Oreochromis niloticus: one gene and its partners. The protein of the gene in region 1 purifies or fractionates together with the protein of each later gene. This does not show direct contact. Links are inferred from orthologs where the notes say so. Each region holds a gene or a part of one and is shown on either strand. Other genes may lie near its edges.

What was found.
Region 2: the proteins of sdha (region 1) and suclg2 fractionate together in Homo sapiens (co-fractionation; 3 studies listed by BioGRID, with this or other methods). This does not show direct contact. The link is inferred for Oreochromis niloticus from reciprocal best matches to the Homo sapiens genes SDHA and SUCLG2.
Region 3: the proteins of sdha (region 1) and sdhaf2 purify together in Homo sapiens (co-immunoprecipitation; 3 studies listed by BioGRID and IntAct, counting the BioPlex papers as one, with this or other methods). This does not show direct contact. The link is inferred for Oreochromis niloticus from reciprocal best matches to the Homo sapiens genes SDHA and SDHAF2.

Annotation. Positions count from the first base shown.
Region 1 is NC_031976.2:12,123,610-12,130,842, forward strand, and holds the start of sdha (succinate dehydrogenase [ubiquinone] flavoprotein subunit, mitochondrial), read right to left. Parts: upstream 3,016-7,233; 5' UTR 2,949-3,015; coding exon 2,886-2,948; intron 709-2,885; coding exon 625-708; intron 483-624; coding exon 321-482; intron 176-320; coding exon 32-175; intron 1-31. Other genes in the region: coiled-coil domain-containing protein 127, read left to right, coding at 3,835-3,964, 4,734-4,978, 5,195-5,641. UniProt on the Homo sapiens protein: Flavoprotein (FP) subunit of succinate dehydrogenase (SDH) that is involved in complex II of the mitochondrial electron transport chain and is responsible for transferring electrons from succinate to ubiquinone (coenzyme Q).
Region 2 is NC_031970.2:29,603,197-29,611,282, reverse strand, and holds the start of suclg2 (succinate--CoA ligase [GDP-forming] subunit beta, mitochondrial), read left to right. Parts: upstream 1-5,040; 5' UTR 5,041-5,113; coding exon 5,114-5,197; intron 5,198-8,086. UniProt on the Homo sapiens protein: GTP-specific succinyl-CoA synthetase functions in the citric acid cycle (TCA), coupling the hydrolysis of succinyl-CoA to the synthesis of GTP and thus represents the only step of substrate-level phosphorylation in the TCA.
Region 3 is NC_031965.2:19,331,865-19,339,800, reverse strand, and holds the start of sdhaf2 (succinate dehydrogenase assembly factor 2, mitochondrial), read left to right. Parts: upstream 1-4,907; 5' UTR 4,908-5,019; coding exon 5,020-5,046; intron 5,047-7,815; coding exon 7,816-7,936. Other genes in the region: cleavage and polyadenylation specificity factor subunit 7, read right to left, coding at 135-461, 600-744, 2,117-2,220, 2,432-2,768, 2,880-3,025, 3,116-3,219, 3,546-3,749, 4,206-4,295.

The DNA of each region.
Region 1 (7,233 bases):
CATGTTAGTGTGTTTTTAAGAGAGATCTTACCTCCACTACGGCTGCAGGAGCCTGCTCTGTCATGTAGTGGATAGCGTCCTGGTCTCCAAGCCAATCAGATCCCTTTACTGTGTCATAGAAATGCCACCTCCAGTCATCCTCCTCCATGTTCCCCAGAGCCGCATTAATCCCACCCTATTAGCCAGGGTAATATTAAACATTATGTGTGTTTACTTGATGGCCTTAAGATTAGTAAAACATTTGCAATGAGTTTGCTAATTACATGGAGACTTTGGTTCTAACTGACATACAAAATCATTTACTGTAACCACTGATTTACCTGTGCAGCGACAGTATGAGACCTGGTGGGGAACAGTTTGGTGACGCAGGCAGTGTTGAAGCCCGCCTCAGACAGGCCAAAAGCTGCCCTCAGTCCTGCTCCACCAGCTCCAACCACCACAGCATCAAACTCATGATCCACAACTGGGTATTGAGTGGAGATCTGAAACCAGTTGAAAAGACAATGTAGTGCAAACACGTTTGAAGCAATGAGAGTGTACTCTACGTATGTGGAGTTCTGGTTTGATGATTCATATCATATACATACTGTTCTGCATTAAAAAAAAAAACTTAATGTGGCTTACATCATCTGATACTTTGGCATTTTTCTTCTTGCCATAGATGGAAAAGTGAAAGTTCCTGGAACCTTGAACCGCAGCGGCAGGGACCTGGCAGAAGAAAAAGCAACTTAAATAAAACTAAAACTAAACCCAAACAAAAAACACACTGAAAAACCAGAATCTGCTAATAAACACAACAAAATGATTATTCAATGAAGTGAAGTTTTAAAGCTTCAGTCCTAACAGCACCTCCACAACCCATAATTCATATCATTAATATTTACAGCCATTCATCACTGAAAATGTTACCAGCATTTACACAGCCAATCTTGTCAGATGCATATGTATTTTAAACCTTCTGTAGTTCACCACTGACTTGAATCTAAAAGTATACAAACCTGCCAGTAGGAGGAACTAAAGCATCACTTTAACAGACACAACAATATTGTGCCCCATGTGCTTTATTGGGAACACTTAAACTTTCCTGACAAAATGTGAAGTAATTAACATAATTTTTGTGAGATATCCTTATTCACACATGATGAATAAACCATTTACACTAAGTGACTGAATTTCCCAAAAATCACTTTAGTGTAAACAACTTACACTAAGCTAAGAGACCATTAATCTTCATTGCCCATGACACAATGTATTTAAGACTATTCACATTTTTTATGCTTTAAATCTATAACAACTTATTCTTCACAGCACAGTGAAGAAGAGGTTTCCAATCCCACTGATGCAAATACAGACTCTCCATGTTGGAAAGGAGCTCATTATAGATTATAGAGAGGAGGGTCTTAAACACTAAAATGATAATATCATATAAATCACAGGTGATGATTTATTATCTAAATTATCATCTAGCATCTCTCAGATCAATTGACTGTCTGCTTGGCCAACAGATAACAGAGGAGGCCACTGAGACTATCCAATGGTCATCTTGAAGTGTGCTCATATACCGAGCATGATCCCCTGAGAAACTGTACTGTGGGTAAGTATAAGACTTGCTGCAAATTCAGAGTAAATAATACTACGCCTGGATAATCTCTGTTATTTCTGTCATTTTTGGATGTACTGGGGAATGCAGGTGATTTACAGGGTTTCTATCAGTAGAATCAAGTAGAAAGTATACAAATAAATGGCTGCAATAAATACAGATATCGCCTTCTTACATTAACCGAGTTGATTATCACTGTATTTTTAAATTTGCCAGAATAGGCTCCCCGTGAAAAAAAAAAAATGAATGGCATATGTTGGTGTAAAATAGTACAATATCTGAATTTAGAGGGTTACAAAAAAGAAGAAAAAAAAGACAATGACTCCTGGTGAACAATATATAATCTTTTTCTCTTTTTTTCTGTTTGGTGGCTTCCCTACCTGTGGGGCATCAACAATCAGATGTTTACAAGCAGCAGAAGGCAGCAGAAATGACTAACAGATTCATTTAATTTATGTGTAATTTATATTAATTTAACATTAGAAATAAAAAAAAGTACACATTAATGTTAAGCTGAACCTATAAGTTTAACGATCTGCATGAGAAGTGACAGGGAGGTTATAGTCTGATCACCTGTCAGTGGCTCCTGCCTTTGGAAAATGATCTGCTAAAATACAAGCAGCATACCAACCGAAAACATCTGCTATACCTGTGCCACGACATCAGCAGTGATTTATAATCGGGGGAAAAACTCCAGCACAAAACTTTCTGTTAACAGCCTTACAGCACCATGTTTAATAATGGCTGTGAAGGCATTTTCCAAAACAACCCATAGCAAAAAAAAAAAGCATTAATACGCACGACCATTTTTCACAGCGACCTTTGCTCTTGGCGGTTATTTTTCATAATGTCTGATGTCATTTTACATCTTCGTCGGTCTAAACCTGTCATATATCTGCAAATTGTCCCATTTTACTTTTGTAGCTAACAATAGCGGCTACTTACTGAGAACTGTTTTACACAAGGGCAGCGGCATTTACGACTTTCATGGTGACGGAACGTCTGGTTAGGCGGACAGTTCAGTCGCCATTAGAAACAATGTGTAATGTGAAGATAATAGAAGTGTAATAGATATAATATAAATATTTTGTTGGACCTGCAAAATAGCTTTTCTCATAGAGTCACATTGAAACAGCACCAGCTACATAACAGATTACGCAAGGCAGAATCCGCAGGTTATGAAAGCTTCGTTTTAGAAACAAAAAAGGGAAAATAAAATATTATCTTTTACAATATACTACATATTTAACTATTTAACTTTTAAAAGCATGTTTTTACTACTCACTGCTTTCGCAGTAGATAAAACCCTCTTGGAGAGGAGACGGGACGCCGCGCGGACACTCGCCATGTTGTCAGACGAAGGATCGTTCCTGCAGCGCTGCGGAGGAACACATATTTTGCCGGACTGGACTAAACCAATGTCCTAAAAGAGGGGTCGCTCATTTATTTAATATTTATATGATAGTTATTATTTAAAGCATTCAGCCATGTGTTTTAAGGGTAATTATTAAATTATTAGCTTGAAACCATCTGAGTAAATATACAGGGTTTTTTACTGCAACACTTACAGGAACTTTTTGTAAGCACTTTTTAAAATCACCCTCTGCCGGCTAAGATGGAACGTTAAAGCGTTAAAATTGTATAATCTGCGTGTGCAGGAACAAATGCATAAGTGACCTACACTTTTCATTCAAGGTGAGACACAGCTCCATACATTTAACAGGCGTACGCTGACACGTTGTCGGGATTGCAAAACTACGAAGCCCCTTCGTTCTGTTGTTTTTTTAAAATAAACACAATGACGAGCCACGGCGCCAAATGTTGGCTAGCATGTAGCACATAGCTAGCTTTGTTTGTGGTTAGCTGAGCTGTCAAACTTCCGAATCATGTGAGGCTGTTTTCGCCCTGTATGCCCGGTGCATTGTTTGGATTCATGCTAAAAAGCGATTTGTTAACGCACTTTCACATCCAGTGCTTATTCTAAACACTGTTTTGCAGGTTACACACCCTAGCAGATACATTGGCGTTTATTCACTGCTTTTTATTCAGCGAGTGGCAAATGATGCGATAGTTAATGCAGAGTAAATAATAGACGTGTCAAAGAAAAAAACACCACTGAGAATATATGCAACTCACAAATAAAAATTTAAAAAAGAGTCAATTGTTGGTGATGCTTTGGGCTGATCTCTCTTTGTGTTTGTTTGTGTGTGTGTGTGTGTGTAACAGCGGCCTCCATGAACAACTTGAATGATCCCCCAAGATGGAACATCCAACCAGATCCCAGAGGAAGGGGGGCGGGCGCAGGCGATGGCAACCAGTGGAACTACGCCCTGCTGGTCCCCATGCTGGGACTGGCTGCATTTCGTAAGTTACGCAAGGAGGTTTGCCGGTGTGACTGTGGATGAGACAACAGAGTAGAACAGCATATCAATTTCAAGAGTGGAAGGGAAGTCTTACAATATAGTATTGATGAATGTCATGACAGAGGAGGACGCTAAGGAGCAGAGATGGAGGCAAATGATCTGCTTTTTTGATCTGCTGTGGTGATCCTTAAAGGGAGCAGGCAAAGGAATATTATGATCAGTGAGTCCCCTGGCTTACAGACACACACAGTATACTGTAACTATTCACTGGCACAGTCTCTTTTGTCATTAGAATGCCAAACGGCATTTAATGATTAACACAGAAGTGGGGAAAAAAGTAGACTGAACTGCAGCTCAGTAAAAATTATTGCACTGAAAGGAGACTTTTTGACCATAGCAGGGTATTACCATTCCAGGTTAAGCACAGTAGAGGTTTCTTGCACAACTTTACCTACTTTAAAACAGGGGGGAAACACCTGCAACAGTTGTAATATACAGAACAACTTTTTGTTTTGTTGTTGTTGGTTTTTTTTATTGACAAGATGCACACAACTGCTTGTGTACTTGCCCAGCGTGCATCTGTTCTGATCTGTGTGTGATTGTATGATAGATCATCTCTGTTACTTAGATGAAGTCATTGCTGTGATTTTATAAAATTTGCAGTTCATAAGTAGCTCCAGCTACTCTACTCTTCAGAAAATCATGGCAGTATCACTTAACATCTTCCCCATTTTTTTTTTTTTTTTTTTTTTATCCCATTGCCCTTTCAGGATGGATCTGGACCAGAGAATCTCAGAGGGAGATCCAGAAGGTGAAAGCTCAGTATGACAAAGATGTGTCTACAATAAAAAGTGAGATGGAGGCCCGTTACCGGGAGACACTTACCGAGAGGCGCAGGGCAGCAGCTACGCTGGAGCTGGAGCTGGAGAAAGAGAGACAGCGGGTCAAAGGCTACAAGCAGGCCTTGGTCTCACAGAGCCAGCAGCTTATGGAAGAAAGGAAGCAGTTACAGCAGGTAAAGATCTGCTGAAGGGTTTATAAGGGATAACAGAGCTAATGAGTAGAAATCTATCTCAAGCCTTTGTTTTCTTCCATCTCAGTTACCTGCTACACATCTGTCTTTTGTTGTCCTCCTTTTACATTGAACATTGCACCCATTTTATCATTGTGTCATTTTCTTTTGTAATGCATAGCCTTTACTCACTAACCTTGAATTCTATCTTCTAACAAGGAGCGAGAGTCCTTAGAGGAAGAGAAGCAAAAGTTGGTGAAATCTGGAGCTGCAGGTGCTCTGCTGCATCAAGCTCTGGAAAAAGAGCAGAACTGGTACAACCGAGCCACAGTCACTCTGAAGGAGCTGGAGGGTTTACTTGTGGAGCGGCAGAACGCCTACTGCTCCCTCATCCAGCCTCGAGATCAGCGGCTGGAGATGGAGAAGAACATGCTGCTTAAGGTCGTTAAAGATCCCATTGGGGCAGACCTGGATCTAGAGACTGACCTGAAGGATATTTTTAAGAGAGACAAGCATTGTGCCGACCTGCTAAACATGGACAGGAGGAAGAACGGAAGCCTCATGTGGGTGTACCTCAAGTATTGGCAGCTGCAGATCACCGTCCAGAAACACAAAAGAGCCGAGGAAGCCATATTAGGAGGGAAAATCCACTCAGACACAAAGTGACAAATAGGCAACAATAAGCCGGTGTTTTGGTTTGACTTGAAGAATGTGGCGAGGGTGTGATTTAGAAATGGAAAATTCTTGTTTTTTATCCCCTCTGTGTAATAATCTTTACTTTGTAGGGATGTTATGCAAACACACAGGAGGTCAACGAGGTCTAACAAGGTGAGTCGCAACATCTGAAAACTCCATCCTTGATCACATTTTGATGTTGCACTAATATCGCTTATAGCAGTTCACCTCAGCTGCTCAGATAAGGATTTATTTCATTTAACTGAAGAAAAACAGAAATATTAGAAATATTATTCAGATGGTATCCATATTGGATACAAAAATGCATGGTTTATTAAATATAAAATGATACTTTACAATTTAGCCCCTTTAAAAATGTTGATTTAACGTCCATATTTTTTAATGCCATGAATTATTGTCAGTTAAGATTATATCTCGGAAGAAGAATTTTTTTTATTCGTTAGATAGGAATTCAGGGATGCCATAACACTCTATTAAATCTATTGTTATGTTTTTTGTGGATAATTTAAGTCTGTTGTTGAAGGAGTAATGTGGGAGATATTTATAAAGATAACTCTGGGACTTTCTGTTTTCAACAACCTCTCTGTTCATTGAGTTTCCTCCATTTAAATTCCGATCTCATGATCGAGCACAGCTCGTAGAACAGGGAGGATGTTTCTGATGACTGGTTTGTGGGTACCTCACTACTGTCAGGGACGCTGGACTTAACCGAAGTTGCATGTATGCATAAGTGCTAAATAGTGTAATGTGTTGCAAAAACAAAAAGTAAAATCAAGAAAAGCACATTTAATTTCTTACTGTAACACACATACACACATGCAATGAAAGGATTTACTAAATCCGTAGCATTTTTCTTTGGTTATCAGGCCTCTCTGTGCTGCCATGTTTTCATTTTGACCTTGAGGATTAAGTGCTGGATGCTAAACTGACACTTATAACTCTGTGTGATCATTTGAATAAATTTGTTTTTGTTTAGAACTCAGTTTGCAGGTTGTCCTTTTTTTCCATAGAGACTGATTTTTTGGGGGGGAGGGGCTTCAAGGAGCGGCTTCATCTGGATTTAGATACAGGAAAGATATACTTTAATCCGTTGGCTATGTGGCGGCTCATACTGCATGATTAAAAAGGTGCATGCATGAGGAATATGTAAAAACAACTGACACAAGAATATTGATTGAGGTTTGTGAAATAAGCTTCCAGAAAGTGTTTAATTAAGCTTTACAAACCATAGAAACCACCAACTGTGACAAAATTGCATTTTCCTCCTGGGACAAATTTATAGTTCACATCAGGCTCGATTCTACAGCACCCAGAGCTTTTATGCAAATTATAGCACATCTTTTTTTTTTTTAGAATTATTTAGTTGCTGAAGATATGACACTACTACAAATATCAGTAAAGCATGTGAGATAACATCCTCGAGCATAAAAATAGTACTTCTAAAATAGTCAATTTTAGAAGAATATTTGATTTTGTTAATACCACTGAGAAATCTACTACAACAAAGGCTGTGATCACTCCCTTCTCTGAACCCGATCAGAGGTTTCCCTGGGAGAGGACAT
Region 2 (8,086 bases), on another chromosome or scaffold:
TCAGAGCAGACACAAGCCAAGCTTTGGCAGTCTTATGTTCTTGGGCTGTTATGGATTTTACGGTAGAAAAGTGAAAGTTATGGAGGGTAATGCTGAGGTATGTCAGTCGACCCTGGGGAAAAGTCTACCCCGCTTTTCTTCCGGAGTAAAATATGTTTGCTGTGTCATAATCTTTCCAAACTCTCTGGGAGAAATGAGGATAAAAGGAAGGTCTTGGACTCATGCATATGCATTGCCGTGACATTGTGAACTCTAAGGGTTAGCACAGAAAATGATGAGTAATTATGTTTGCCGTCTGTCATATCAAAAGATGTGCTGAGCACAGGGTGGCAATGACCCAATCCCACCCTTTCACTTTCTCTCTTGTCCGATCTCTGTCATTCTCAGCTCTCCGTAGCATCTTCCTTGCCTATTTTAATTTCCCTGTCAGGCAGTCTGCTTTCTGTCTGTTTGGCTAAGCTACAAGATTCCTTGCTTGTTGACTCAGCAGTTAAGTGCATTAATTCCCCATTTCTCTCACTACTTTGGCATTCTGTCGGGTAGAAAACAAAACTCTCCTCTGGCTAGTCAAAGCCACATGATTCTATACATAAACATAGTATAAAACAGCCTTTAAAACACTAGTTTTTACTGAGATCACCGCTCTGTTACAAGCCTACTTTTGGAACTTGTATGCATAGATACACCCTTACTCTTAAATGCACCGCCTGGACTTTTGGCCTCACTGCATACATATATACATTTATTCAGCGAGGTCACACTTAGTAAGTTGGTGCTTGTCCATTTCTACTTTGTGTGAATGGAGACTGAATAAAATGAACACACTGATCTGCATTCAGTCCAAAAAATAAAGGGTCATTGAAGTGTCCAGGTTCTATGTCAGCGTGACACTGACAGACAGCCAAGCAAACCTTCTGGATGCTTTTAGTTTCATCTTTCTCTTCTGTGTGATCTGCTATGCTGTCCAACCAGTCACGTTAATGAGAGGGGCAAAGTGTTGCTGTCATGGCCTCATTGACGTTTGAAGAGGGTCCTGTAGTCAGAATCACTGTGGAGAATTCTCTTTTGAGCTCACATGCGGGAAGTGTGGTTAACAGACAGGTCAGAGAAAAGCAGCGACACACAGAGAGGAGGGGGCAGAGAAAGCCGAAACAAGGAGACACTGGAAGAACAACAAAGGGCAAGAAAGGACTCAAAGTAGCACGGTCAGTGCAAACAGAGAAAGAGAGAGAGGCACCTGAGACACGAATTAAAAAGAAAAAGATGGCAGAGGAGCAGAGATTGACAGTGTGGTCCAGACTCTGGGCATGCTCAGTGTGTCAGCTCCTCGCCTGATCACTGCAGGTTGTTAGCCAACCACCCCTCTGCTATTTTGGTGACTGAAGCATATGGGCTAACCGCACAGCCTGTTGGGAACTGTGAGTCTTCATCCCTGGTATTTTCATGGCTTTCAACTTATTGAGTGGAAACTGACAATGGATAATTGAGTGAAACCACAAATTAGTTGCCCTGCCTGCACACTTACTCATGTTGCTCCGGGGAGAATAAAAAGGGAGGGGGGGGAAAAGAAAGATAAGATAAGATCACATATGTTATGTATCTGAAATGAACACAAGCTGCTTTAGTCAGAGTGTTTTGTGCTATAAAACATTCAGCCATTTTCTTCCATTTATCCAAATCAGAGTAAGTGGAAGGGAAAAAGATGAGGTACACGGTGGGCTAATCTTTCACAGGGCTAATACCTAGTGTTAATTTAGAGTGACTAGTTATCCTAAAGCCACTAATTGCATGTCTTTGGACTGTGGGAGAAAGCTAGAGTACTCAGAGAGAACCCACACAGACACGGGGGAGAACATGCAAGCTCCACACCGAAGGGCCCCAGACCTTCTTGCTGTGAGGTAACAGTGCAACACACATCCTACCTCACGATTCACCTGAATCCTAGTGAAACATTTTAAGAATTTTATGTGTGATTAAAATGTTTTTTTTTTTATTAACTTTTGTTTTAGTCAAAGAAAGGAGGCACAAACAGCAAATACCCTTCTCTTCTAGTGCAAGTAAAAAGTATCACCGACTTAAAAATCAGCACGTACTTCTGGTTGTGTATTCATATATGAAGATATCGTTGAACTTTGTGAACTGCCCATTGAAGACAAATTCAATTTGTGTTAGAAAGTTTAGGTAGTTTTGAAAAGAATACAAAGCAACAATAGCTGCTTTGTATTCTGGGATTAAAATGACATGATTGCTCCGAGTGCAGACAAAAACACAGTTTTTGTTCTGAGCGACAGGACAACATCTGAAATGAAAAAAAAAAAGTTGAATTGTATTAGTTAGGGCCATTGATATTCTGACAGTCCTGTCGGAATATCAGTTCCTTGGAGAGAAGAAAATGTCCCTGGTGAGAGAGAGCGAAAAAAAGAAACAAAATGCTTTAAAATGCTCAAGCGAATCATCTTTTAGTCATTCTGCTTGGCTCCCACTCTCAGTGATTTTGTTTTTTTTAATACTGAAGTTACACATGCCACTCTTCACTGACACAAAGACACTGGGTGGACTTTTTATACATTCGGTAGGATTTGTTGACACACCCAGATATTATGCTGGTGCAGCAATTTTCACTTCATTTGTGCACTTACTGTGCTAAGGTTTTTTTTTTTTTTTAAAAAAGCCAGCAACCACAGAATATTTTCAGTGTGTGAAATATGGATCACTGACTTCCAGAAAGCTCTCACCCACAAGCTGGGGGAGGTTAAGAGCAAAAAAAAAAAATCAAATAAACATGAGGCAAATTCTCTCCCCGTTGACATTAAAGTGGCTCACGTTTGCAAATTTTTCTTCTTTCAAAGTTTTTCAGGGGTTTATCATTTCATCTTACATATTGACCATTAAAGGTCTCCAGAAAAAAAAAAAAAAAGATCCTTTGGTTGTAGCTGTTCATCATCATCTCCTCCCCTCTGTCATGTCCTCTCTAGCCTGCTGACACTGATGGTTTCTAAGTGAGTATCTCATCCAACTCTCCCTCTCTCTCTCTCTCCTCCTGTCATAATCACTGCTCTTTATGATCGGTTTGCCCTCTCTGCCCTTTCAAGATGCGGCGTGTAATGAGGGCTCTGGAGAACTATGTGAGTGGGCTATTTAGCTATTCAGACAAGATCAGCTCACACATCCCACGCTCTCTCTCGCTCGACTCCCTACCAATACCTTTCAGCTGAGTGCAGTGATTGTTTGTCCTGCTCGCAAGGTCACACTGTGGATGGAGCCGGAGCAGCTCCTGCATTCAACATCCATGACGGGCCTTTTAGTGTTTGCTCACCACATGGAAATTGAATGATTAAAATGGGCGATTTAAATATTCAATTCAACACTACTGTCAAATTATTTTGTAGAGCTTAATAGCTGCAAAGGCAACATAAAGGGTCAGTTTTCTCAAATTAAAATAATAATTATAACATAAAAGACATATTTCCTCCCACCAAAATCTGTGCACAGCGTATGAATCCATCATATTTTACACCAGCAGCAGCTTTTTTTTTTTTTTTTTTGCAATACTGCCAGAACTCATTAACCTTGATTTTCAAGTACTGCTTGTACATGCTGTTTGCAGACACATTAATAAGCAGCAAATAATATTATTTCTGTTAAGGCCAAAAAAAACTTGAAACTTACTCTGCAACCTTCCCCACCCACTAGATAAACAAATTATGTCTATGAGTGCTTATAGATGAACGTGTACAAATTCTTCCTGCAATTCATGTCCAGTCTGCTTGTGTGGGTTTCCTCTCACAGTGCAAAGCCAAGCATGTTACATTAATTGTGTTGATCCCCAGTTAAGAAAATGAATGGATGCATTTCCAGCAATGAGACTGAAACTAATACACACACACATCCTCCTCAACAATCCAAGCACTCAACCTCAAAAGAACAACAAAGACTGTATGCACTACCTTATCCAAGTCAGCACATTATAAATCCAAGTTACACATATGCAGTAAAGATGTATAGTTTGTTTGTGCCCTTTTCTTATGTCCTTTGATTCTTAACATTAGTGGAAAAATTAACTTGTATAGCTGTTTTTAATAATATGGTTTATAATGGTTTTCAGTTGTGGTTGTTTGTTACACATTAGTAACATAACTATTTTAAATCATAATAAAAGTGGTAAATTAGACCAGATCTTAAAAGTCAGTCTAAGATTCAAAACTCATTATATTAGAAAAAAATGAAAAAAACCTGCATGTGTAACATGAGTTTAATAGTAGAATCTAAACTCCTCTTCAGTTGGTTAAAACCCACAAATTCCAAGAGATATTCTGAGGACAGAAACTCACACTCTAACATTTATTACTTCTGTAACGTGTAAGGGAGAAAATGATGATTAAAGCCTAATAACAACAACTTTTACCATTTTTGGTTTTACCCCACATACTGCTCAGTTACAGTATTTGGTCTAATGCTCAGATGAGCATTAAGACCTCAGTAAGATCTAGTGTGCACAAAACAGAGTTCCCCATCTTGTGCAGTGTCCATTGAAGGACAGGATGCATACCAGGCTGGACACGTCTTCCTGTTAGAAGGGAGTTTTTCCTTCCCACTGTCACCAAGTGCTTGCTCATAGAGGGTCATCTGATTGTTGGGGTTTTCTCTGTGTTATAATTGGGTCCTAACTTTACAATATAAAGCACCTTGAAGCAACTGTTGTTGTGATGTAAATATGATGATGATGTAAATAAAACTGAATTGAACTGAAAGTAGAAAACTAGTCTAATACATTTTAGCTTTAACGTTTTATTCTTTACCCTTTTCTGGATGTTATCACAAATTAATTTTAGAATTAAAATGTATGTCAGGGGGATAGATCAGTATGCAGTGCAGGCAGGATTTGACTTTAGACTGATAAAAACTGCTACGTTGTTAGATTTTTAGTCTGCTCTGTTCTCACCTCTGTCCCTGTAGTTTAGACTAAGCGCCAACAATGTCCATGCCTGCTAAACATGCACACCTGACTCCACGGTGTGTATGCGTCTTTTAGAAGCACCGCCCACCTCTGATTCTTGACCTATGATCGCTCACGCGCTTCTAGCGTCATCTCCCTTTGGACTTGCGTGTCAACATGGCGGCTTCCATGGCATCCCAGGCTGTAGCGAAAGGACTCAGGATAGCTACTTCAAAGCACATACTTCTCGACAAAGCGAAGGTAGCGTTACAGCTTCTCTTGCTGATGTTACGGTCTGCTGCTCGGGCGGGGTGGCTTCGTCGCTGTCAGCGTCTCACGGCTAGGGTTAGCGTTAGCAGGTTAGCATGTGTGAGCGGACAGAGGTTTGACAGATCAAAGTTAAACAGTCTGACAGTTCACAGGTGACGTAACAATGCCGTCTTCAAGTCCTGCAGTAGGTCTAATCATGGAGGCTGTTATATATACGCGCTGCTCTACAAATGATAGTTAATCGGCAAGAGCTTGTGTGAGGAAAGCTTTTCTAATGCAGTTCTGCATGTGAATGTTACTCGTGTACACTACCTGTCACTATAACTGTGAGTCTGTAAGTTTGTGCGTTTAAGATATTTTTAATTTCTCTTTATTGCGTATAATTGAACTGCAAGGGTCTTCTCGTCAGTAAGTTATTTTGCATGCTTAGGTTCAGCACTTCTACAGTGGGCTGTGTGACCTCTGATGAGTAAAAGTCATAGTGAACAATTCCTCCAGCCTGGCTCCATTTCAGATAAGACCCGAGTAAAAAAAGGTTAACCCTTGCACTTTGAGCTTCCAGCATGTGTGTGTGAGCTGGAAACAGCAGCCAGCAGAATTCGCCTGATTAGAGTTGTCTAAGTACACAGTGGCAAATGCTTACAGTTGCACAGTTTCTCATTTAGCAAACAAAGCATTTGGTCTGGTAATTGCAAAGAGTCTTAAACATGCTGCCAGAGCTACAAAACATAAATCCCCACACCCCCTGCACTGTATTGACTAACAAACAAACCCAGTCACACAGAGCTGTGCTTTCATAATAAATTTCAAAGCTCCAGGACAAACAGATGAATAAATTACCATGTTATGCTGTACTGTCAGTTTGATGCTTTTCTGCGCAGTCGGTATCTGAGAACTGGTCTTTCAGGTTGAGGTGCCTGCATAGGTATTTGGAACATTAGTACAAATGGGACTTCTCATGCTGTGTTTACCTTTCATATTTACTCCCAGATGGATTCATATTGATGGAAACGTATTGTTTTTACAAGTCAAACAGATTTTATGTGCAGTGTGGTAGAGTATTTTTTATAGGTATTATACCTGGAGGAAAGGTGATTGACTGAAAAATAATTGTGCTTCATGCAGATCGAAAAGAAAATATGTAAATTGAACTTTTTCTTTTATCCAAATTTGTCCACATTAGCTTGGTAAATTCCTAATGCTAAAGCTATTAGAGATAATTACATGCTACATCTCAGTATCAGGACTCATTATTATTGCTTTTTAGCTTTAATATTATCAGTTATTACAAACTATTGTCAGAAATACATGTTTTGTTTTGTTTTTTTATGTCATGTGTTAATCTAGTTGCTTCTTTCTCTGCAACCATTCCAAAAGTATAGAGAGGCCCACATTTTACTACACATTTTATAAACGTATATCTATGCATCAGGCCTTTTTTTTTTCCCCCATGTGGCTGCTGCACATAGCTACAGTAGCTGTGCATTATTTTCTGAGTCCTTCCAAAATGTGGGCAACCTACAGCGTACCTTGCCAGAACATCTTGGATTGGATGCTGCTTTGATAATTTGCTGCTCACACGGTGCCTTCTATTTAGCCACATGTCTGTTTTTTTTTGGTTTTTTTTTTTAATTTAATTTAATTTTGTTTTGTTTTTTCATAATTGAAAACCTTTGGTTAATATTATTACCTAAATCAAAAAAAATGTCCCAACCAAGGCAACAAATTGCATGAAACATTTCCATTATTTTTTTTCTCATTTTCCACCTACACATTCCTTAGAGCAGGGAATGGGAGTCCCTGTAAAGGCTGCTATTGTTATATTTTTTTCCTCTAGCATTAGTTCATTAATTTTTTTTTTTTTAAATTTGTACTATAGGATTACTAAGTCTGCTATTATTATATGTCAAATATATGTGTTTTTTATTTATATATTTAAAAAAATTATTTTTTATCCATCTAAGAAAACGACTAAGTTTGCTAGTGGACAACTCCTTCACTCTTATTTTGAAAGGTCATTTGGTGCTTAAAATCTGGCCTTTCCAACTTCTGTTTTTTCAACTGGCTATCTTGCTAGCCGGGGGTGAAAAAAGAAATGTATTTCTTTTTTAGCACTTACAGCAACAACTATATGAAATATCTCTGAAATTGTTGAACCTGCATCAATAACCAACATATCTGCATAAGGTAAAATTTAGATATGTCAGTGGAGGCCAGAGACCTGGCCTGAACTGTTCCTTTAAAAAGTAAACTCTAACAAAAGTTTTTATCTCATGTTTACTGGCTCTTTACCTGCTCGTCTTCTGCTTCTTTCACTTCTTTCGCTTCTGTCTCTCTCTCGTTCGGGCCAGGTGATAAGAGTAATGATCGGGGATTTTCTCTGGTGTGTAGCACAGTATCAGGGCCTGAACAGATTGACAGTCAGGTATCGCTACAATAGAATCAAATCAGCTTTGACAGTATGTCAACTAAGCTGTGGAATTCAATTTGCAATGATTTGTCAACAACAATGCACAGGACATTGCAATATTCAGATGGTTAGGCTCCAAGATACTCCTTAAAGGAGGAGTGAGATGTTGTTGTTATTTTTTTTTTCTCTCTCACACTCTCTCTCTCTCATAAATCAAATCTCCTGAATTCTTGTCTGCACACCGAGATAATCCTCGGGCTGTTTTTCACTGTCGCTGCACAGGGATGAATTTGTAAACCTTTGCTAAGTTTTTTTTTTTGTATGGCGTGCGTGCTTGGTAATACCCCAACTGTGTTGAAGCCCAGCGTGGTTTGAAGGGGTACACTGGGAAGAAAGGTGTCTCAATGAGACTCAGTCCTGAATATTTTACAGAACAGGGTGGAGAGCCCTCTGCTTGCAACGACTTCTTT
Region 3 (7,936 bases), on another chromosome or scaffold:
TTTCCTTCCATCAAAAGTCAAAATGTTTACTGGAAAAATAGTAGATATTCCAAAAACGTGAAACCGACTGATGGTAAAATATAATTGTAGTGTACAAATTAATATTAGTGAAAAACTTACCTAATTAGTGGTACCTGTCTCTGTGATCTCTGTGTCTTTCCCGTTCCCGTGAATACGCCTTTTCCCTTTCTCCACTCCAGGAACGCTCCAGGTGTCTTCGAGACATTCCTGCACCTTCACAAACAGAAGAATAGTCCCTATCACGCTCTCTGTCACGACTCCTGTCCCAGTCTCTATCACGCTCTCTGCCACGACTCCGTTCCCGGTCTCTATTACGCTCTCGACTCCGTTTCAGGTCTCTTTCACGGTCTCGGTCACGGCTCCATTCCCTGTCTCTGTCCCGCTCTCGCTCTCTGTCCCGACTTCTGTCCCGGTCTCTTTCTCCAGAGCGACTTTGTTCACTGAAAGGAAATATGGTTTTGTAACAAAGTAAGAAATCTAATGCTAGGTCCAACCTCAGTATTAGTTCATATACATGCGTATATATACGTTCATATACGGACAACAACGATAGCGTTTTGATAGGCAGTTATACAAACCTGTAGCCATAGTTGCCCTGGATAGAGACTAGACAATCCTTGAGTGACGTGACCAGCGTCTGGCATCGCTCATCTCCATACACTCTGGACTGCTTAATGATGGCAATGGCAGTTAATAGCGTTTCCATGGCCACCTGCAGGTCTCCTGATGTAGAAATTTAGGAGATATTAGAAGCATTTGTTTTTTAGTAACGAAGCACTTTAAAGTTCCTAGGGTTAGGTTTAATAAAAAGTTTTTGAAAATGGGCGACAGTTACTACAAAATACATTAAAGATAGGAAAGTATCTCGGAACAGAAGCAGCAGGGAGGCTTGTTGAGTGAGAAGACATAAAACCTGGCCTGAGGTGATGATTCACCTATGTGTATACAGAGACCCAGAGCACGCAGCCAACACAAGGCTGAGAGGGCTTTGGGATAAATCTCTGCATGTTGTTAAATGTGCCAGCCGAAGCTTCATCTTAAACTCCAGTAGAAATTGTTAGAACTAAGAAAGGCTCTTATTTCACTCTGATACACCTAGAGGAAGTAACAAAATGTATGAAGAAAGTAGAAATTAAAAGTGTGCAAAGCTAGAAAAACCATAACCAAAAACCTAAAGGCCCCGAAGACACCCGTTGTGTTGTAAGAGCACTGACAATCAAATCTGATTAAACCACAACCAAACAGTCCTGATAATAAAGATGATTATTTCCAGATTTTTAATTTAATTTTCTTCTTATTTTGCCACAAATATGCTAAATTCTTGAGTCGCTCGTTATTCTTTGTATTTTTCTTCAAAGGAGCCAGTCTTTCTTGTAATTTTTGCAACTGCAGTATTTTCAATAAACTGAACAAGTGGAGAACAAAAAAAAAAATAACTGGCAGCCCCCCCCCAAAAAAAAACTATCTATAAAAAGTCATGTCCTTAAGAAATAGGAATAATCTACCAAAGAACTAGAACACAGTGTCTACAGCCATCTGTAAAACATGGTGGAGGCTCCATCATGATTTGGGGCTTCATTTCTGCCAGAGGTGTCGGGATTTTAATCAGTGCTGATGGAATTATGAGTATCATCAGATTTTGATCCACCATGCAATACCATCTGGAAAGCATCCAACAGGTAAAGGCTTCAATTTTTAATGCACTAGAAGGATAACATTGTAAAAAAAAAACCAACAACAAAAAAACAAAACAAACCGCACACAATGATGGGTGGCTCAATGCTTTAACATACACAGTACTTTTTGTTGCAGAGATCAGACTGATTAGCATTAAAACAGCATTTTCAGAGCCTTTCAAATAATGAATAAAGTCTGTAATGACTTATGTACACAACATAGTATTTAGTTTTTTATCACTAGTAAAAAAATGTATTCAAATTATATCTAAGACAAAAATATACTATGATATGTGTGTGCTTCTTAATTCAAGTGCAAGTTGTGTTGAACAACTTTACATTTTGAGTGTTTCTCCAACTGTCTGTTAATCATAGATAATAAGCATAAAAAACTGTATCCCATATGAATGTATACTTACCAGCTGTTGCACCACTCACAGCTTTTGTGATGGCACTGCTGGCAATGGTTCTGTTTCTATTCATAAGCTCCTCCAAATCTCGATCGGAACTTTTAGGTGTGTTTCTGTAAAATATACAGTTATTAGTAAAAGTAACTATTGTTTTAATGTTTTCTTTTCTTTTTTGTAACTTCTAGTCATAAGTAATCTCTATTCTCATTTATGCCTCTCTGTATCCTGCTCATTGGTTCACTTTCCACTGGAGGTTTAATCTCATCTCTCTGTAAATGCCTTTAGTGTGTCAGTGGCTATAAAAATTAAATAATGTGTTCTCACTTTTGTTGGCTGTAAGCTTTGCTGCTGTGCCCATCCTGTGCTGGGCTGAAGTATGTGGGATGCATACCAAGAGGCGGGTGGCTTGGGACAGGGACTGGATGAGGAGGGAACAGCGGGGTTGCCATGAGCGGAGCGATTGTTTGTGGCATATGTGGAAACAGGGGAGGTGGATGACCAAAAGAAGGGCCGGGTAATGGAGGAAAGCTGTTGGCAAGTGGATGTGATGGAAAAAGTGGCGGTATAGCAGACGGGGTGGTCTTCTGTGCTAATAATACTGAGAGAATCTCATCTGACGACTCAGATTCCTTGGTTTCTTTGTTAGCTCGCAAGGGTACACCTGAAAAAACCAAAAACAAAATACATCTCCATGAAAAATGATAGTTATCCTGACATTTAGTAATACAAACTAAATATCAGTGGGGGGTTTTCAGAGTCGTCTTCCCCTTACGTTTGTTTGCTTCTTCTTCAAAAAAAGCAAGGTTCTGACAAGTGGCATAGCGACAGTCTATCCTTTCCCCGTTGATTTTACACTGTGGTGCTTTTTCCAACATTAGTTTTAGTGACTCGTCTGACGTTATCACCACTTCTGCAAAGCTGCATCACAGAGTAGGAGATAAAATTTAAAAGAAAATACAAAAATGCTTTATTTTGTAAAGGTTTCTCTATATTTTACACAATACTCACCCTCTTGACACACCATTACTTCTGTCCTCAGCAAACTTGATGTCTGTGATGTTCTTCACACCCAACCCTTTGGCCATAGATATTAGGTCCTTGTCAGTTACCCACTGCAAGGATGAGAAGGTTTGTAAAAAAGAAAAAAAAACTGGTAGGGGGAAAGTCATTCAGCTTTATAGGTATAACAGATCATCTACTGTATCTATGTAGCCATTTGCTGTACTGGAATATTTAATATCGTCACAAAAACTGATAACATACTAAAGTAATGCCAACTGTGTAAACAAATGGCAAGCATGGTATAGTGTGCTATCTGTCTTGGCATTATATAAAGAACCTAAAATCAGATTATTATTTATTTTTCCAGTAATGTTTTGGTATTAACAGTGTTTCTATAATGGATGAAAATGTATTGGTAATGCAAAACTCAACTCACCCATGGGAAATGCCCAACATATACAGAAAGTCTCCTTAGATAGTTTGCTCCTTTTGGGGTATTTGCTGCTGTTGATTTATCCTCTTCTTTAGCTGATGTCTCCTTACGTAAGGACTCCTTGGTAGCTACATTCTTGTCTTGATTAACAGAACCGGTTAGCACGGCATCAAAAAGTTCATTTGCTTCTGCAATTCTATCCAAATCCTGTGAAGTATAGAAAAAGAATAATTACAGTACTGGGCAAAAGTCTTGTCAATGCTGCATATGACCACCTTTACTTTTCAACACACAAACTCTGTTAATTTTGTCTTTTAAAAAATATTTAACTAAAGAAATATACTAAAATATACAACTAAAGCCCAAAGAAACTATTCCAAATCGGTTCTTTAAGTTTCATCCTTTTAGTTAAGTATTTTTTCATGTCATAGGTGAGTGTTAAGTAGCTCAAAAACTTGCTAACATATATTCCAGTATTAGATAACGTAAAATTAAAAAAAATTAAAGGATGTGGCACCTTCCTTCTATTAAGATAAGTACCCCAGTTTTATTTTGACTGATTGCTTATTCTGTGCCTACTGCATCTTAAGTTTCATTAAACATTATGTGCGATCGTTTCATACACTGACTTTTTTTTTGCATTGATTTTAATGTCAGACTCACCTCATCGTTTTGATTCAGGTCACTATATAGATCTATATCCTTGTTATCGATGCTTGGTCCAGTTGCAGGTTGTGGTCCTGCAGCAGCCATCCCGTGGGCCGAAGATAATTAATTACTTGCAATCCAGCTAGTAATTATTATTTGTTTTAAGTGCAGCTCGCACATGCACACCTTAGAAGTTAACACAAAAGATGCACTTTTAGAATTCAAAAATTTCTCTTTTCCTTATTTTGTTAGCTAACGTTATTGTTCCGCTGGACTTGTTAAAATAAGCATACTGTGGCTAAAACTGAGTGTGACAAACCGAAAATACAGTCTGCGGAAATAAATTATAAGAAAACTGAATTTTGATGAAAACTTTCAAAAACATACAAGGTATTTCATACACATTAGCACGCGCGACCAGTTTACTTCTCATTCGTTTTCTGCTCAGCTAAAGCTAATGTTGCTACTCTGGCAATTGGTGCAGCTGACATATTCACCGGCTGAAAACAACAATCGACTTTTTGTTCCTGTAGTCAAATTGGTTTACTTTTTGGTATAGGGTCAAGCATGTATTTAGCTAATGCATTTGTCTTTGAGTAAGAAAAAAATAATAATACACAGATTAACTATATAACCTCTAAAGGTCCACCTGTGACGCCAGCTGCGTTTTCCCGCAGTTAAACACAGACACGTGTGGGCTGTGTACAGCCCTCCCTCCGGTAGTTTCCTGTGACCGTACTTGTGTAATTTCTGTCAGACAGCAGAAACATTTCGACGGGGGAGACGGAGCTTCGTCAAATTTGTGGACCTTAGAAGAAGTTGGGTTAAAATGTTGTCTTCTATTGTCGCGAAAAGGGTGAGCTAGCGAGTAATTAATAATTTGTGTGTTTGTTGCTTGAAATCTGAATCCGTGGCCGTCGTAACGTCAGAGCTCGCCGTTCAATTCTAAACATTTTTAGCGTTAATAAATCTGTCTAGTACGTTTAATGTTCAATAATAGGACGCAGTAACAGACTTAATAGTATTAAACAAACTGTTCAGTGTTTCCTGATGGTGTAGCATTATTATTGTCAGGGTTGATGTAGCTCTGATGCAGAGAGGTTGTCCTCTTGGAGGGCAGTTGTACAACAGTGCATCGAGAGTCTCAGATTATGCAATTCCCCTCTGCTTTCTGTCTTTTAGTTTAGCAGCAAATGTTTAGGATTCCAAGCCATCATAGTTATTATTATAATATTATTATAAATAACTAAAAGCGAAAACTGAAACTGGGGAGAAAGAAACGTTTTATATTATATGATTTGCATTGGTATATACTATACTGTGCAAAAAGCCTTGAACCAACCCTCACTTCTTTATAATTTGCTTCCATAGAGTCAGAAGACGTCAGGAATAGTTCTCCAAGCTTTTTGGAAGTCTTTCCATTTTTTTTTTTTTAAACATTCCCCACCCCACTCATTTTCACTCCAGTCTTTTTACCTGTTTTCCTAAGCCGCTTAATACTTACTTACCATTCATTCAAGCATAAAATATACACCTAAATCAAGGAGCCCGACGCAAAAACGCATAATTTGGTCCTATTTCTTCAGTTAAACTGATGAAAGTACAGTTTGACAGGCATAAAATTGTATTTTTCTAATGACAAGTTGATTTCTAGAGAGCTTTTAGCTGAAAACTTAACATATCTCAGTGTGATATCAAGTGTATCCTTAAAAACAAAATTTGAGCAAATTCTAAAAGGTAAAAAAAAAACAAAACAAAAAAAAACGCAACAGGTGAACAGTGTCTGAAAGTTCTGTCCTTAAGAAAAGCAGGAAAAAAATCCAGCAAAGACCCGATTCAGGAGATGCATCCGGTCCTTCAGTTGACACATTTACTATTCACTGAAGCCTCATCAGGAATGTGGAAGGGTGGCTGTCAAGAAGCCATCGTTAAAGAAGGGAAAACGTGAGAAAAGGCTGAAGTTTGCCAAGTTACACAAGGACTGAACTGAAGATCGGCGGCAACAGGTCTTATGCCATGTCTGGGGCTGCATTTCAGCCAGTGGTGTTGGAGATCTTGTCAAAACTGATGGAATTATGAAAGCAGAAAAGAACTGTCAGACTGTGATTCCCCACGTAATTTTGATTGTGTATTTTTCAGGCTTTGATGAATAGTTAGTTGGATTGAATAACCCCCAGGACAACCCCCCCTCATAAAGTGCCTTAAAAACTCAAAAACTTTTTAAAGATTGAACATCTGGAAAGTGTCTGATTGACGGCAGCTTAATTTTTCATCATGACAATGAACCCAAACACATTGTCAGTGCAGTATAAGCATAGCTGATTAAAACAAACACACACACATACTCACTGAACACTGTTGGGTCTGTTCCCACAAACCCCGCTAATTCTAGAGACTTATTCATCATGAATGAAAACAAGACAGTCAGCGATCGATCGATTACTTGCGCAAGGGAGGCCTCGTCTATGTCCAGCATGGAAGTGACCCCGATGAGGGCCTCCTCTCGCTGGCTTTTATTGACAAACTTCAAACAATAGTTTACAAAACACCTCCCCTCGCAACCCCCTTTGGTTACAAAGACAAGGCACTGTATGTATATGCATGCAGGTGTGTGTGTGTGTGTGTGTCCTCCTGCTGACCAAAGGGTCGTAAACGCAGGAAGCTTACATCAAAGGAAGTAGATCTTCCAGATAGGATGTATCTGCTATAAAACCTCCCCCAACACAAAGTGGTTAGAGGTGCTCAGGATCAAAGGAATAGCTTTGATAATACTGCTTGAACTAAGACTGTACAAATTTAAGAAACACAATGGCAACATTCAACAATTAGACCTAACAAACACCATCAGTCATTCTTCAACACTGCAGGCTCTGCTAATGAATATAGGTGGTCCTACCAAGTTTTGACCTCCAGGTTTGTTAGAACTGTACTAGTTCTATTTTTTTATATCCTGTATTTTAATGTATATTTCCACATATTTTCATAAATAACTGCACACCTTTCCCACTAAACTAGCAATAGATAAAGAAATGTGGGATGATCTTTTTTTTAGTCATTTTGTTCGTATTTGTCAAAAAGCACAAGGAAGCATGGAACATGTTTATTGTGATGTGTCTACCTGTGAGTAAATGAAGGATATTGTGTTTGTATTATAATGCCTAACACTACTATGTAAAAATATAAATAAAATGAATAATGAAATATTTGAAACAATAACACTTAAATTGGAAGACTGAAAGCCAATTTAAATTAAACAGATCTAGATCATAAAATGAGAAAATGGTAAATAAAGTTGGATGCTGATACCTGAACATAAAATACTTAAGAATATTTAGTCTCAGCATCACTCACAATTATCAGTGACGCAACGTCAGCTGAAAAATACAAACAGCTGAACACAGTCTCTAAATTGTTCCTCATGCAACTTGAACTTACTAAAGCTGTACTGGCAGTTTAACATGTAGATCTAATGCCTGTATTAGCTTTTAGATAATAATTGCTACCACAATCTTGCCCAAAGACAATATTTGTTAGTAACTACAATAATCTGATGTACTGACTCAGCATTTTCAGAAGCCACAGTGGATTATTTTACCTGTCTTTTAATGTGTGCTTGTCCCATCAGCTGGTAACCGGGATGTGCCAGGCTGCTTGGAGACCAGCAATCACAGGGCTGGTGTCGTCTCGTGGTTACCGCGGGGACTCTCCCGAAGACACCAAGGTTGACCTGATTGAGATCCCTTTGC